Linked DNA regions of Drosophila melanogaster. The gene in region 2 interacts genetically with the main gene of each other region. Each region holds a gene or a part of one and is shown on either strand. Other genes may lie near its edges. The genes, in order: atl and spas.

What was found.
Region 1: of spas (region 2) and atl, changing one suppresses a phenotype caused by changing the other (phenotypic suppression), as found in Drosophila melanogaster (one study listed by BioGRID).

Annotation. Positions count from the first base shown.
Region 1 is NT_033777.3:24,623,803-24,628,936, reverse strand, and holds the start of atl (atlastin), read right to left. Parts: upstream 3,267-5,134; 5' UTR 3,125-3,266; intron 1,872-3,124; exon of another isoform or gene 1,562-1,871; coding exon of another isoform or gene 275-1,561; intron 222-274; coding exon of another isoform or gene 1-221. Other genes in the region: wsck, read left to right, coding at 1-221, 275-1,561; Syx18 (syntaxin 18), read left to right, coding at 3,464-4,462, 4,782-4,970. UniProt on the Drosophila melanogaster protein: Membrane-anchored GTPase that mediates the GTP-dependent fusion of endoplasmic reticulum (ER) membranes, maintaining the continuous ER network. It facilitates the formation of three-way junctions where ER tubules intersect.
Region 2 is NT_033777.3:24,036,275-24,043,447, reverse strand, and holds spas (spastin), read right to left. Parts: upstream 5,234-7,173; 5' UTR 4,940-5,233; coding exon 4,186-4,939; intron 3,854-4,185; coding exon 3,683-3,853; intron 3,538-3,682; coding exon 3,352-3,537; intron 3,143-3,351; coding exon 2,976-3,142; intron 2,881-2,975; coding exon 2,628-2,880; intron 2,570-2,627; coding exon 1,824-2,569; 3' UTR 794-1,823; downstream 1-793. Other genes in the region: Miro (mitochondrial Rho), read left to right, coding at 5,900-6,517, 6,630-7,173. UniProt on the Drosophila melanogaster protein: ATP-dependent microtubule severing protein. Stimulates microtubule minus-end depolymerization and poleward microtubule flux in the mitotic spindle. Regulates microtubule stability in the neuromuscular junction synapse.

The DNA.
Region 1 (5,134 bases), 590 kb from region 2:
ACAACGCCCTGAGTCAGCCATTCGATGCCCAGCTCCTGGGCAGCTGGCAGCAGGCTCAACAAGATGGAGTGCCCTACTACATAGCCGCCGAATTGGACTACGATCGACCGGAGGACAATCGCACCCGGCGCTTTGTGGTCGGCGATGGCAAGCGTTACGGACGATTTACCAATAAGCCGTTGGATCAACCAGATGCACATGTCCACATCAGTCTCGGATTGGTGAGTAATGCATTAAATTCGAATGAATATCTCTGTAACTATTTATATTCTAGGTGAGCACACTGGAGGGCGTTACCAAGACGATGTACAGTCGTGGAACTCACGACCAGCATGTGACATCCCTAGACGACTTTAGTTACGCCACCTTTGAGAAGGGTCAATCCTCGGTGGTTGCCCTAGCTGTCACCTGTGTGATCTTCGGCTCCTGCCTCCTGCTCAGTCTTATTGCCTACTTCTATCTGCGCTACAAGACCTGCCGCGGGCGACGATTGACTGGTGGCAATACGCACGAGATGACGCTGCAAACGCCCATAATCGAGCGGGAAAATAACGGATACCTTGTGGAGGACGATCCACTGCCACACTCGCCGGAAAACTTCAAGCAGCAGTTGCAACAGTTGGTGGAAGGATACGAACGGATACCAAGGAATGCACTACGACTAAATGTGAACGATGTGATCGGAGACGGACGCTTTGGTGAGATTATAACCGGAAAGGTTTCCACAAACGATTTTGCCAGAGATTGCACCCTGCACGTGCTCTGTCTGGACGATCTGAATGGTACTACACAGGCACAGTTGCTGAGAGAACTACGTCAGTTGTCTCAATTGAAGCGCCAGGAGCATTTGCTAGATTTCTATGGAGTATCAGCAAGTCCCGATTGGTTCTACCTAATCTTCGAGCAGCAACGCATGAGTCTAAAGAGAAAACTGGTGGAGAGTCGCCTGATGGCACCGTCGCCACGCTTGACTTCCCTCTCTGAGCAGCTAGTGCTGCAGTGGATCTACGAGCTTGCCAGTGCCATGAATTATCTATCCAGCTGCCAGGTGGTGCATCGACAGCTCTGCTCGCACAGCGTCTTCGTTACCAGCGATTTCAAGCTAAAACTGAGCGTCTTTGGACCGCTGCCCTACATGAACATTGCTCGCCAGCAGCCAGACCACAACCGGTGGCTGGCCCCGGAGGTGCTGCGCCATCAGCATCACCATTCCACCCGTTCTGATGTCTGGTCCCTGGCCTGCGTGGCGTGGGAATGCTGTGCCCTTGGCGGTACTCCCTATGCCAATGCAGTGGCAAGTAACCAACAGCTTCTAGAGGCCATTCGGGCTGCAGTGCGTCCGGCGCAGCCAGCCTACGTCTACGGGGATCTCTACCAGCTGCTGCTCAACTGCTGGCAGCTGGAGCCGAGCGAGCGGAGCAGCTGTGAGGACGTGGCCTTCGGAGTACGTCAGCTGATGACCTCACCGCGTCATGCCCTCAGCTTTGATCGAGTGGCCGGCGGACTAGACACCCTGCCTCCGTACCTGCCGCAACTGGAAGCCGTTGCTACGATGGGCTGAGGTGCAGCCGAATAGTATAATTAGCTTTAGTCAGCGAGAGACCACATTCGCATAGAGTAGATTTCGGTTCTGAGTCACTGCTGCTAAGAGAAAACATCACTTCATTTCGATTTTAGATGAGTTCACTTTCAGTGTTCTGAAGAGAAAATAATTTGTTTTAGAATTTACACATTGATTTAATAAAGCTCATAAATTGTTATTATCCATATAATATTAGAAGTGAGCATTTATGAAACACAATTCGATGTTTATTGTTAATACGCACAAACTTCCTACAAATAAAAGAGTGTTCTATGCCAGAGCTTATCAGATCTATAAGGTAGTTAATTGCTTATCTACAACCCGAAAGAAAGGAATCGACTTTCCCCCACGCGAAACAAAGTTCAAGCGAACGTGCTCGATGGAGAGCGCGATAGATAAAAGACTACTGACAGTCTGGCCCCCAAAATTGTGTAATAAATTGAGGGATCCATAGCGAATGGATCTACCAACAGACCAGCGACTGTGATTCCCCCGCCGATCGCTGATGTTGCACAAACCAGACAAAAGCGAAAACTAAAAGCAAAAAAAAAACCAAGGGAGAGAGCCGCGAATGCGAAACTTTGATCGCTGGCGAGCAGCAATTAATAATAGAAAATAAACGGCGGTGTTGCTTAAGTGTGAGTGGATCAAAATTGACGATTAATCAGTTTAAAGGTCTTGCATTGCATCTATTGTTTGTTATGTTGTTTAAGAATTAATTAGGGAAATTGTTGGCAGCAGCCTAGATGCGGTTACATGCATTATTAGTCATCCGAAATAGTAGGGCACTTTATGTATGTATATTCCATTGGTTTGGACAATCATCTTATAATGAAGCTACATAGCAAAAAAAAAAAAAAAATCTAAATCTGTGTATATTCTTCCGATATGCACTTTTCAAATGAAATGTTCAAAATTCGTTATCAGTACTTAAAATTTCTCACTATGTACAAGCTTATCTCGGGATCCTTCCCAAAGAAGATAAGCCATTGTTTCTCTTGTCGACGTGTAACTATTGGATCCACCAAAAAACCCAAAGCACATGGCTCACCCGGAATTTAGAGCGACTTTCTTATAGAGTATATGGTAAATACGGTAAATGAAGCGCAACGATATCCATAGCGACTTTTGGACGCTTACCTTGCCCGCAATTCAAGGTGAAATGACGACGAACAATTGAAGTCACTGAAATGTGTATACATTCCGAGCAAATGGGCAATTATTATTAATAAATCGAGCTGAATGGCTGCTATCGGAATTCAGGGGCTTCGACTGCCGACCATGCTCATGAATATGTGGAAGATGATGATGATGATGAGGTTCATCCGGTATTGGCCAACTTTGCGAGTGTTTTGCATTCGCCTGGTTAAATTGTTATTGTTTTTGTTACATATACACACATGGAGATTATGAGGAATCCAAGGAAACTGGTTGCTCACACACGCACACCAACGCACTGCGACGGAGCCACTCACGCACACTACCAAATGGTCGGCTAACTGCGCAAATAATGCGGCTTCTGTGTCGGCCTTTGTTACTCACTTTACTTAACCATTTACATCGGACACTGGACTTCACTGCGCTGCGATTTTTCGACACTTTGGAAGCAGAAAAGTACGTATTTTGTTTGTGCTCTGCCAATGGTGTGACCGTACACCGTTGGGCGAAAAATCACCTATAAGTGTGGGGGTGAAAATTCATTAGCCAACACTGAAATGCTTATCGATAACATTTAGCTATTTTTAGTATTAGCTAACTGGTATATATTAACGGTCATCATAAGGTCACACTGCAAACGGTTAAACGAACGGCCACATTGTGTTGGACCGATGATGTGGATTTAAAAGTTAAATATTTCAAACTTAGTTATAGCAAATAGCTATGGACATCACCCAGAGCTTCAAGGCCAGCGTAATGACGGTGCGCCTGCAGCGCAAGGCCGAGCTGGCCGGAAAGGCCAAGCCCGCCACAGTGCCGACAAAAACTGGACCAATTGGCCCAAAGGATGACTTCGCCAAGCAGGCCAAGGAGGTGTGCAACAAGATCACTTCGCTGCGCAATGTGCTGATCGAGAACCGCACCGCCTACATGCGCATTGGCCAGCACCTCAAGTCCGCCGCACACATGACCGACGCGCAGCGGGATCTGATTGATCGCGAGTCGGAGAAGTTCGTCACCTTTTACACGCAGCACCTGGCCAAGATGCGCAGCGATTGGAAGAGCGCCAAGCGGAAGCCGCAGGAGCGTCAGCACATCGACGCCGTGCTGGACCTGCTGGTCAGCTATTTGCACAGCGTGGAACAGATCTATCTGGACCAAAAGAAGTACCGTGTGCAACACGAACTGGAAACCTATAGGCTGCTCAAGCTGGCGGCGGACAAAAAGAAGATACCAGTGCGTCCGGCGGGCAGCAACAGTGGCAAGCTGGGCAGGCGCCAGGTCAGCAACGATGACAGCGAAGCCACGAAGTCATCTTCACAAGCAAATGGCAACCACGACGAGTCCGCCGACAATGACTGGAATAACGACGCCTGGGGCGACTGGGATGAAGACGAGGAAGGCGACGAGGTGGACGATCACGATGGCGAGAAGGGCAAGGAAGCCAATCAGGCCAATCAACACAAACCGCGTACGCGCAAACGAAGCAAAGCCAACAGATCGGATCTGAACAACTCATCCTCCAAGATGGCTCTGGATGAGGAGCTCCAGCAGCAGCAGGAGGCCGACGATGACGATCCCCTAAGCGCCGAGGATGTGCAGCTCTTCGAGGCGGAGAACGTACACATCTACAACTTTCTGCAGGGCGTCTCCGAGGAGGTGGAGCAGATCGAAAAGAACGTGGTAGACATTGCCCAACTGCAGGACATTTTCACCGAAAAGGTAAGATGGCATGATAACACAAGTCCCAAGGAATCCTTGCTGTTCTTAACAACGATATCTTTAGTTTAATTTTGGTGAGAACATATTGCTCCATATTGCCAAGAATACTTAGTGGGTTTAAGTGGCTGCCCATATGTTTGTCGACTTAATCCTTCAATTAAAAATATTAATTGGCTTCGCTAAAATCCACATCCTTCGCGATTACAATGGATGTATAAGCCGGGCTCTTATTAGCATGCAATTAATTATTAACTAGATCCAGATAGATCCACGTCCTAATCTCATTTAATCCTCTTAAATTTCCCTTTCCCTTTTGTAGGTCGCCATGCAACAGCACAATATCGACAGGATAGTTAGTGCCGTCGTGGGCACCACGGAAAACGTCAAGGACGCCAACGAGCAAATCCGGCAGGCCACTCAACGAAATGCAGGACTACGCGTGTGGTCGCTGTTCTTCCTGCTGGTCATGTCGTTCTCCCTGCTCTTCTTGGACTGGTACTACGATTAAGTGAAGTCCCCAAATTTATGTGTAACCCACCCAATTTAGGGAATGATAAATGCAAAAATGTTTTGTTATCGTTTGATCGCACTAAAAGCATATTTTGTTTATTACATAATTTATAAATAAAAGGAAAATATTTGTTTAGGCTATTCAACTGCCTTGTTTCAATT
Region 2 (7,173 bases):
CGGAAATAAAATAAACCGAATGAGAAATTCAACAAAAACAAACAAATAAAAACTGAAAAGAGAAAATGCTAATTACGCGCGACAGAGTTAAAACAAAAAGAAAACAATCGAAACAAAAACGTGACAAAGCAAATTGTAATTGTAACTATGTGGAACATGTGTCAACGAAAACTGAAGACGGAAAGAGGGTAGTTTCAGTGGGATGAAAGGATAGCCGCAAGCAAGCAAGCCGAATGCAAAAACAAGAGGAAAAACAAATTTAGTCACTAAGAGAATGTAAATTCGAGCATACATATTGTATATTTCCAATGTGGAAAACGAAATGCGATATAAATATGTAAAATGTAAAATAAAGAAGCAAAAAAATATATAAAACAAGTGAGAAAACGAAGGGACGCTGGTTTTTATATTGAGGTAATGAATTAGGATGTGGAATTATTATTTCAAACTTTAATTTATATCATTGATGATAGAAGTGGTTACTACTACTACAAATCTGGTGGAGGATTCAGCGGAGTCTAAAATATAGTTAAAAAGTAATTAACTTTTACAATTGTGCTAAAAAGTTTTCTTAAGGTATAACATACATACATGAATGAATTTTATAGCTTTAATATTCTCTAGTGAGACGCAGTTTTTCTGCGAAACTAGTTTTCATGAATGCTTAATTCTTCTGCTTACTTTCTCTTAATTTAAATGCACCTGGTGATGTCAGCCGTTGCTCAATTCTCAATACACTACCAATGGTTTCCAATAGCTTAGAATTTTGTTGATGATTAAGAATGCAATTGATGTTTCTTGAAATCGATTTTATTTAGCGTATTCTATAGATTTCTTTATATATATAGTTTTATATGCATGTAGTTTTTTTTTGTATCTGTGTTTAGTAACTAGTCAAAGAACTCAAATTCCGGGTGGGCGAGCTGCGTTGAAGCTGGTTCAATGTGTCGCGATAAGCGACGGGCATGTGCGCGGGTGAAGATGTATCTGATCGATCTGATAACACCAGATCCATACGCACCTGCTAGGTACAACATTTTTGGGTGTGTTACTAATAATATAGGTGAATCGGAGACGATTGTATTTATGGCTGTAGGTACATAGATTGAAACAAAGGAACTAAACTAGACTAACCATACGGACAGTGATAACTATTAAAACTTAAATACGATTCTGCGCTGGTAAATGTATCTTTGTGGGTGTGTATAAGTATATCATCGGTCTTAGGTCTACGCTTACTTCTAGATTACATGTAGCTTGTGGATGGGCACTCAATGTACAACAAAAATATGCTTTATAGTTCAAGGATACAATGGAAGTAGTTGTGAACTCCTTGGGCCGCCTGTCTTACAAAAAATCACTACGGAATGTTTCAAAAAACTAATTTATAAAGCAATGTGGCCTTGAATTACTATCATAAACGAAGATAGGGCAAACCTACTATTCTAAGAACTCCAATGAAAAGTACAGATCTTAGAAATATATACCATGAGTATGAGTATAACGATAATGGAGCTGCATGGCAAATGTTGCACCACATGGACATGGTGGTTAAACAACGAAAAAATACAATACAATGTTCTTAGGCTAAAACACCAGAAATAGCTGGGAAACAAATCATATTAAATAACTCACAGGTAAATACAAATGTAACAATGTTTGTGAAACGAAAAGTCTACGGATTGAATAGAACCTTAAGGGCGAAAAACATGGGTCACATAATCAAAACTAGTGTAACGACAATGGGTTGCGCTCTGAGACTCACATCACAGCTTCTCCAAATTGGATTGATGAAGGAGGGCAGGATCATTGGCTAGAACAGACTAGATGGTGATGTCGCCATAATCTTGCGACCACTTCTCATATGAGTTGAGGCTTTGCGGCGCCACCGAGCGCCTGATGCGCTTGAGCGAACTGTGAAAGTCCTGCTCTGTGATTGCACGCATTGCACTGATGTCCAGACACTTCACTTGCTCCACATTCAACTCTCGAATGGGCTCCAATGCGGCGTCCTTGGCCAGTGCCGTTAAGTCGGAGCCCGAGTATCCGTCTGTTATCTTTGCAAGGCGACGCAACGCCTCGGTATCCAACGGACTGCCTTGCTTCTGGAGCAGTCGATTGAGGAGCAGCTCGCGGGTTTGCTCGTCGGGCAGTGAGACGTAAACGCGCTTTGTGAACCGACGCAGGGCTGCCTCGTCCAATTCCTGCGGTCGATTGGTGGCGGCCAGCACCACGATCCTGTCTCCGTCTGGATTTCCAGGCAGCCCATCGAACTCCACTAGAAACTCGGTCTTTAGGCGACGCGATGCTTCATGCTCGCTGCTGCTTCGCTCTGAAAGCAACGAGTCCACCTCGTCGATGAAAATAATGGAGGGCTGCATGTGACGGGCCACGGCGAAGAGAGCCCTCACCAGTTTCTCGCCATCCCCCACGTACTTGCTGGTCAGCGAGGCAGCCGAAATGTTCAGGAAGGTGGCACTACACTCAGTAGCCACGGCGCGGGCCAGCAGTGTCTTGCCATTTCCGGGAGGACCAAACAGCAATAAACCCTTAGCCGGTGCACGAAGCCCTAAAAAGGAAGAAGATTGGTTATGGTGACGGTTCTAGTCGCAGAATAACCAACTCACCCGTAAAGAGTTCCGGTCGGACGGAGGGTAGAATGACCATTTCCTGTAGAGCCTGCTTGGCCACATCCTGACCGGCAATGTCAGTCCACTCCACTTTGGCCCCACCCTCGACGATCTCGTCGAGTATAAGTTGCACCAGCTTCTGTTCCACTCCCTTCACACTAACCACCGGAGTGCTGGCGCCACTGCCACTGGGTCCGTTGTTGTTTATGGGAGTCCGCGAACGCTGGGGCGGCGTATTACGCCCCGAAGACTGTAATATGAGTAATTTAGTTTAATTAGTATTTTAATTTCTGAGTATTTGCCAAATGTGTAAAAACAAATTTAGTTTACTTATCAGATACTCACAAATTGTCGCCGAACGGCGGGAGGCGTTGCAGCTGTCTTGGCTGGTTGCCTTTGGACTGCGCCTACAGATGTTTTGGAGCCAAGGTTGCGGGGCAGCGTTTGTGATTTGTTGGCCACGGCCAAGTTGACGGGTCGTTTGGATCCAATTGTCAGTTTGCGGCCAGATGCTGTGAACGAATTAGCACAATCAGAGATGGATAATGCGGAAGAATATACTCTTTTACAAGTTTACAATTTGGCCAATCGAAATAAAAAATTCTAAGAAAATCAAGTGCCAAGTGAGGTGATAGGGATTGACTAATCGATCTGCTTATGGTGGCTTTGCGCTGGCGTGTGAGGATCTTGTTGGGTGCGCGTTAGCTGGTGAGGAACTTACCAGTGGGTTGGGCACTGGTGGTGGCCTTGGGCCCATAGCCACTGCTGCGCACCCTTAGTTTCATTGGTTCGTTGGTCATTCCTGCCAGCATGGGCTCCCTGGTCTTCTGCGGCTTGCTTTGAGCCTCTTCTTTCTGCTTCTCCTTTAAGGAGAGGCGCTGCATTTGCAAATCCTGCTCACGCAGAGCTGCGCACCGGATGAACATGTGCATATGGACAAAACGGAGGGGACAACAAAAAAGCAGGGGAAAACGTGCAAAATGAAATAAAAAAAAAATGAGGTAAACAAATCCTATGTTTTAGGGGTATAGGAAATATGACTGGTCACTTACCTAGAAAATGGAGACGATCCCGCGCCATCGAAAGGTTTGTCTGCATCTTGTCGTGCAGGCGCTGAGCCCGATCCCACACATCACCACGTCCACTCCAGCAATCGACAGCTATGCCATCCTCTAGCTCCTTGATACCTTTTCGGTAGAGCTCAATTGCCAGCTCTTTGTGACCTGAATATATAGAATAATATTATTTTATGTTTATTTTATAACTATTATGTTCAATCAAGCTCGCTTTCCTCTTATAAATAATTTGACAAAGAGTACGCTTATATGCATTAGAATTTAAAAATCGCATGCTTGGAGAACTTCCACTCCATAAAAGTCCATCAAGGCAGACAACCCTACTCCTGTTGACATTTGGGGCATCCATTGTGCGCGCGTTTTGCCTTATTGATTCTCACACTCGACAGACAACAAAAGCGGACAGCGGGCGATGACTCATTGAGCATTCGAGCACTCGAACTCGAACTGGAGCTGCCACCCCCGTCGCCGAAACTCACCTTCGTTCTCCTCATCAATTTTGAGCGCCTTGGAGATGTACTCGAAGGCGCGTCGATGGTGATGCTTCTGCTTGGCCAGCAATGGATCGCCGGGACCAGGTGAATACCCTCCTCCCGGACGATTGGCGGCCATCTCCAACGGTTGAATGGGCCTGAAACGCTGTGGCTGATTGGATAACTGCTGTTCCTGTCCGTCACCTTCACGGTTCAGCTCCGAAGGATGGTTCAACGACTGCTGTTGCTCCTTGGAGGAATTCTGCACCACGATTTCAATATTACAGTCGCGTCGGTGCGGGCGGTATATCACCTTTGTGCTCGCACCGTATAGGTAGCGAAAAATACAAAACAGCTGATAAATCAGCGAGCGCAGAACGTTGAAAAGAAAGATTATGGGGAACGAGACGACGTAGAGGTTCTGTTTGTGCACAGAGGACGAGTAGCCGCCGTACGAATGGTGGTGGCCGCTGCGTGGGGAGCACGTTGTGGGGGTCAGGTCATCTGTGGTGGTGGTGTCGTCGTCGCCGTCGGGTGAGCTGCCCGGACTACGGCGATTCGATGAGGAGCCTCCACCGGCGGCAGATGAACCGCCGGCAACAACGGCAGCAACGTTTGAGGCGCTCGACGAGCGGTGAGTGGACTGGCGACCACCGAGTCCTCCGCCGGATGATCCTGCCCCGCTGCTGGACTTTATTGGTGACTTGGTGCTGCTGCTGCTGGCGCTGGAGGAGGACGACTGGTTTTTAGTGCGTACCATCGATATCGATTCCGCGCTGTCTGCGCGTCCAGCACTCCGGCCCCCTGCTCTCCTTGCCCTAACCCCGTGAAAGTTGCACGGGGAAATTATCCTTGTAAGCCAAATCGGTTGGCCGTGGCACGCGTTTGTATCGATGCCGCACAAAAAAACAAACAAATCTCGAATATTATTGTTGTACGTCGTTTGAGCTAGTGCTCATTTTGCTGATATCCGAGAGTACTGATTTTCTTCCGCACTTACAACTCTCACTACGTTGAAAATTGAAGCTAAGCTCTGGAGTCCCAGCCAGTGCTGACCAACTATCGATTACCAAATCTAGCGGGCAAGGTTGTGAAGTCAGACAAACAGGCAATTTCAAAGTTTAAATGGTGGAATGTAACGGATGAAATATAATTTGGGAGACTTTCACCGAAGTGCAGTATGGAGACATTCGTAATTGAAGGTAAGTTTGATTTATTGCCTTGTTTATCATTTCCTTTTTGTTTATACGAATATTTTTAACAGAAAACATTTTGTGTCCTTTACAACATCCTTAACGGTTGGCTGATTTAGCGGAAAAACGCTAACTTGTCATATCGTAGAGATCCAGCTGTCAATAAAGTTACCAGACAGTTTCGGATCCGATGTTTTTGGATGGAAATATTTAAATTACGTGATCAATTTTAAGCAACTGATCGAAATAATAGTTTTGATTTGTTAAATTCGTAGAATTCAAACACAATTGCCGGAAAATTGGGGAAAAATATCGCATTATTTGGCGGTCGCCTAGTGTGGCAGCCCTGGTAGCTGGGTTGCGATATATCGACCTTGATACACCTACTGCCATCCCCATCACTCTGGGTTGTTTTTTTTTGCGTTTTTGCATAACAAAATCCTAGAATTTCGGCCTAAACGCCAGCGATCTCTGACCAGCAGAGCACGAGCACAGGAGCGGCATATCTCACTTGGAGAGCAGTCGGAATGGGACAGTACACGGCGTCGCAGCGCAAGAATGTTAGGATCCTGCTCGTCGGCGACGCCGGGGTGGGTAAGACGTCGTTGATTCTGTCTCTGGTCAGTGAGGAGTACCCGGAGGAGGTTCCGCCTAGGGCTGAGGAGATTACCATTCCGGCGAACGTGACGCCCGAGCAGGTGCCCACCAGCATAGTTGACTTCTCGGCCGTGGAGCAGTCGGAGGATGCCCTGGCCGCCGAAATTAACAAGGCGCACGTGGTGTGCATAGTGTACGCCGTGGACGATGACGACACTTTGGATCGGATCACATCCCATTGGCTGCCGCTCGTCCGGGCCAAGTGCAATCCCTCCCTGGACGGCGAGGGTGATGCCGAAGCGGAGGCGGAAGGAGACACACAACGAGAGCCCATTCGGAAGCCAATCGTTCTGGTGGGTAACAAAATAGACCTCATCGAGTATTCCACCATGGACAGCGTGCTGGCCATCATGGAAGACTACCCCGAGATTGAGAGTTGCGTGGAGTGCTCTGCCAAGTCGCTGCACAACATCTCCGAGATGTTTTACTACGCCCAGAAGGCTGTGCTGCACCCGACTTCTCCCCTGTATATGATGGAAGAACAGGAGGTAAGTGCTTCCGGAGTGGATCATAGGTCGCAACTATATCATTGCGCCGTAATTGGCGGTTTTGCGATAGGTAATCAGCTTGTACTCTTCTAATAAAACTTCGCATTTTCAGCTCACATCCGCCTGCAAGAAGTCGCTGGTGCGCATTTTCAAGATCTGCGACATTGACGGGGACAATCTGTTGAACGATTACGAGCTGAATTTATTCCAGCGACGCTGTTTCAACACACCACTCCAGCCGCAAATCCTTGATGAGGTGAAGGCCGTGATACAGAAAAATGTGCCCGATGGCATATACAACGATGCGGTCACCCTGAAGGGCTTCCTCTTCTTACACTGCCTTTTCATTCAGCGGGGAAGGAACGAGACAACCTGGGCGGTGTTACGGCGCTTTGGCTATAACGACCAGTTGGAGATGTGCCAGGAGTATCTTAGGCCACCGCTGAAAATACCGCCTGGCAGCAGCACAGAACTCTCGCACCGCGGACAGCAGTTTCTGATTGCCGTGTTTGAGCGCTATGATCGCGATGGCGACGGAGCCTTATCACCTGAGGAGCACAAGATGCTCTTCAGCACATGCCCGGCTGCTCCGTGGTCCTACTCCACCGACATACGCAAGTCCTGCCCGATCAACGAGACAACTGGATGGGTGACAC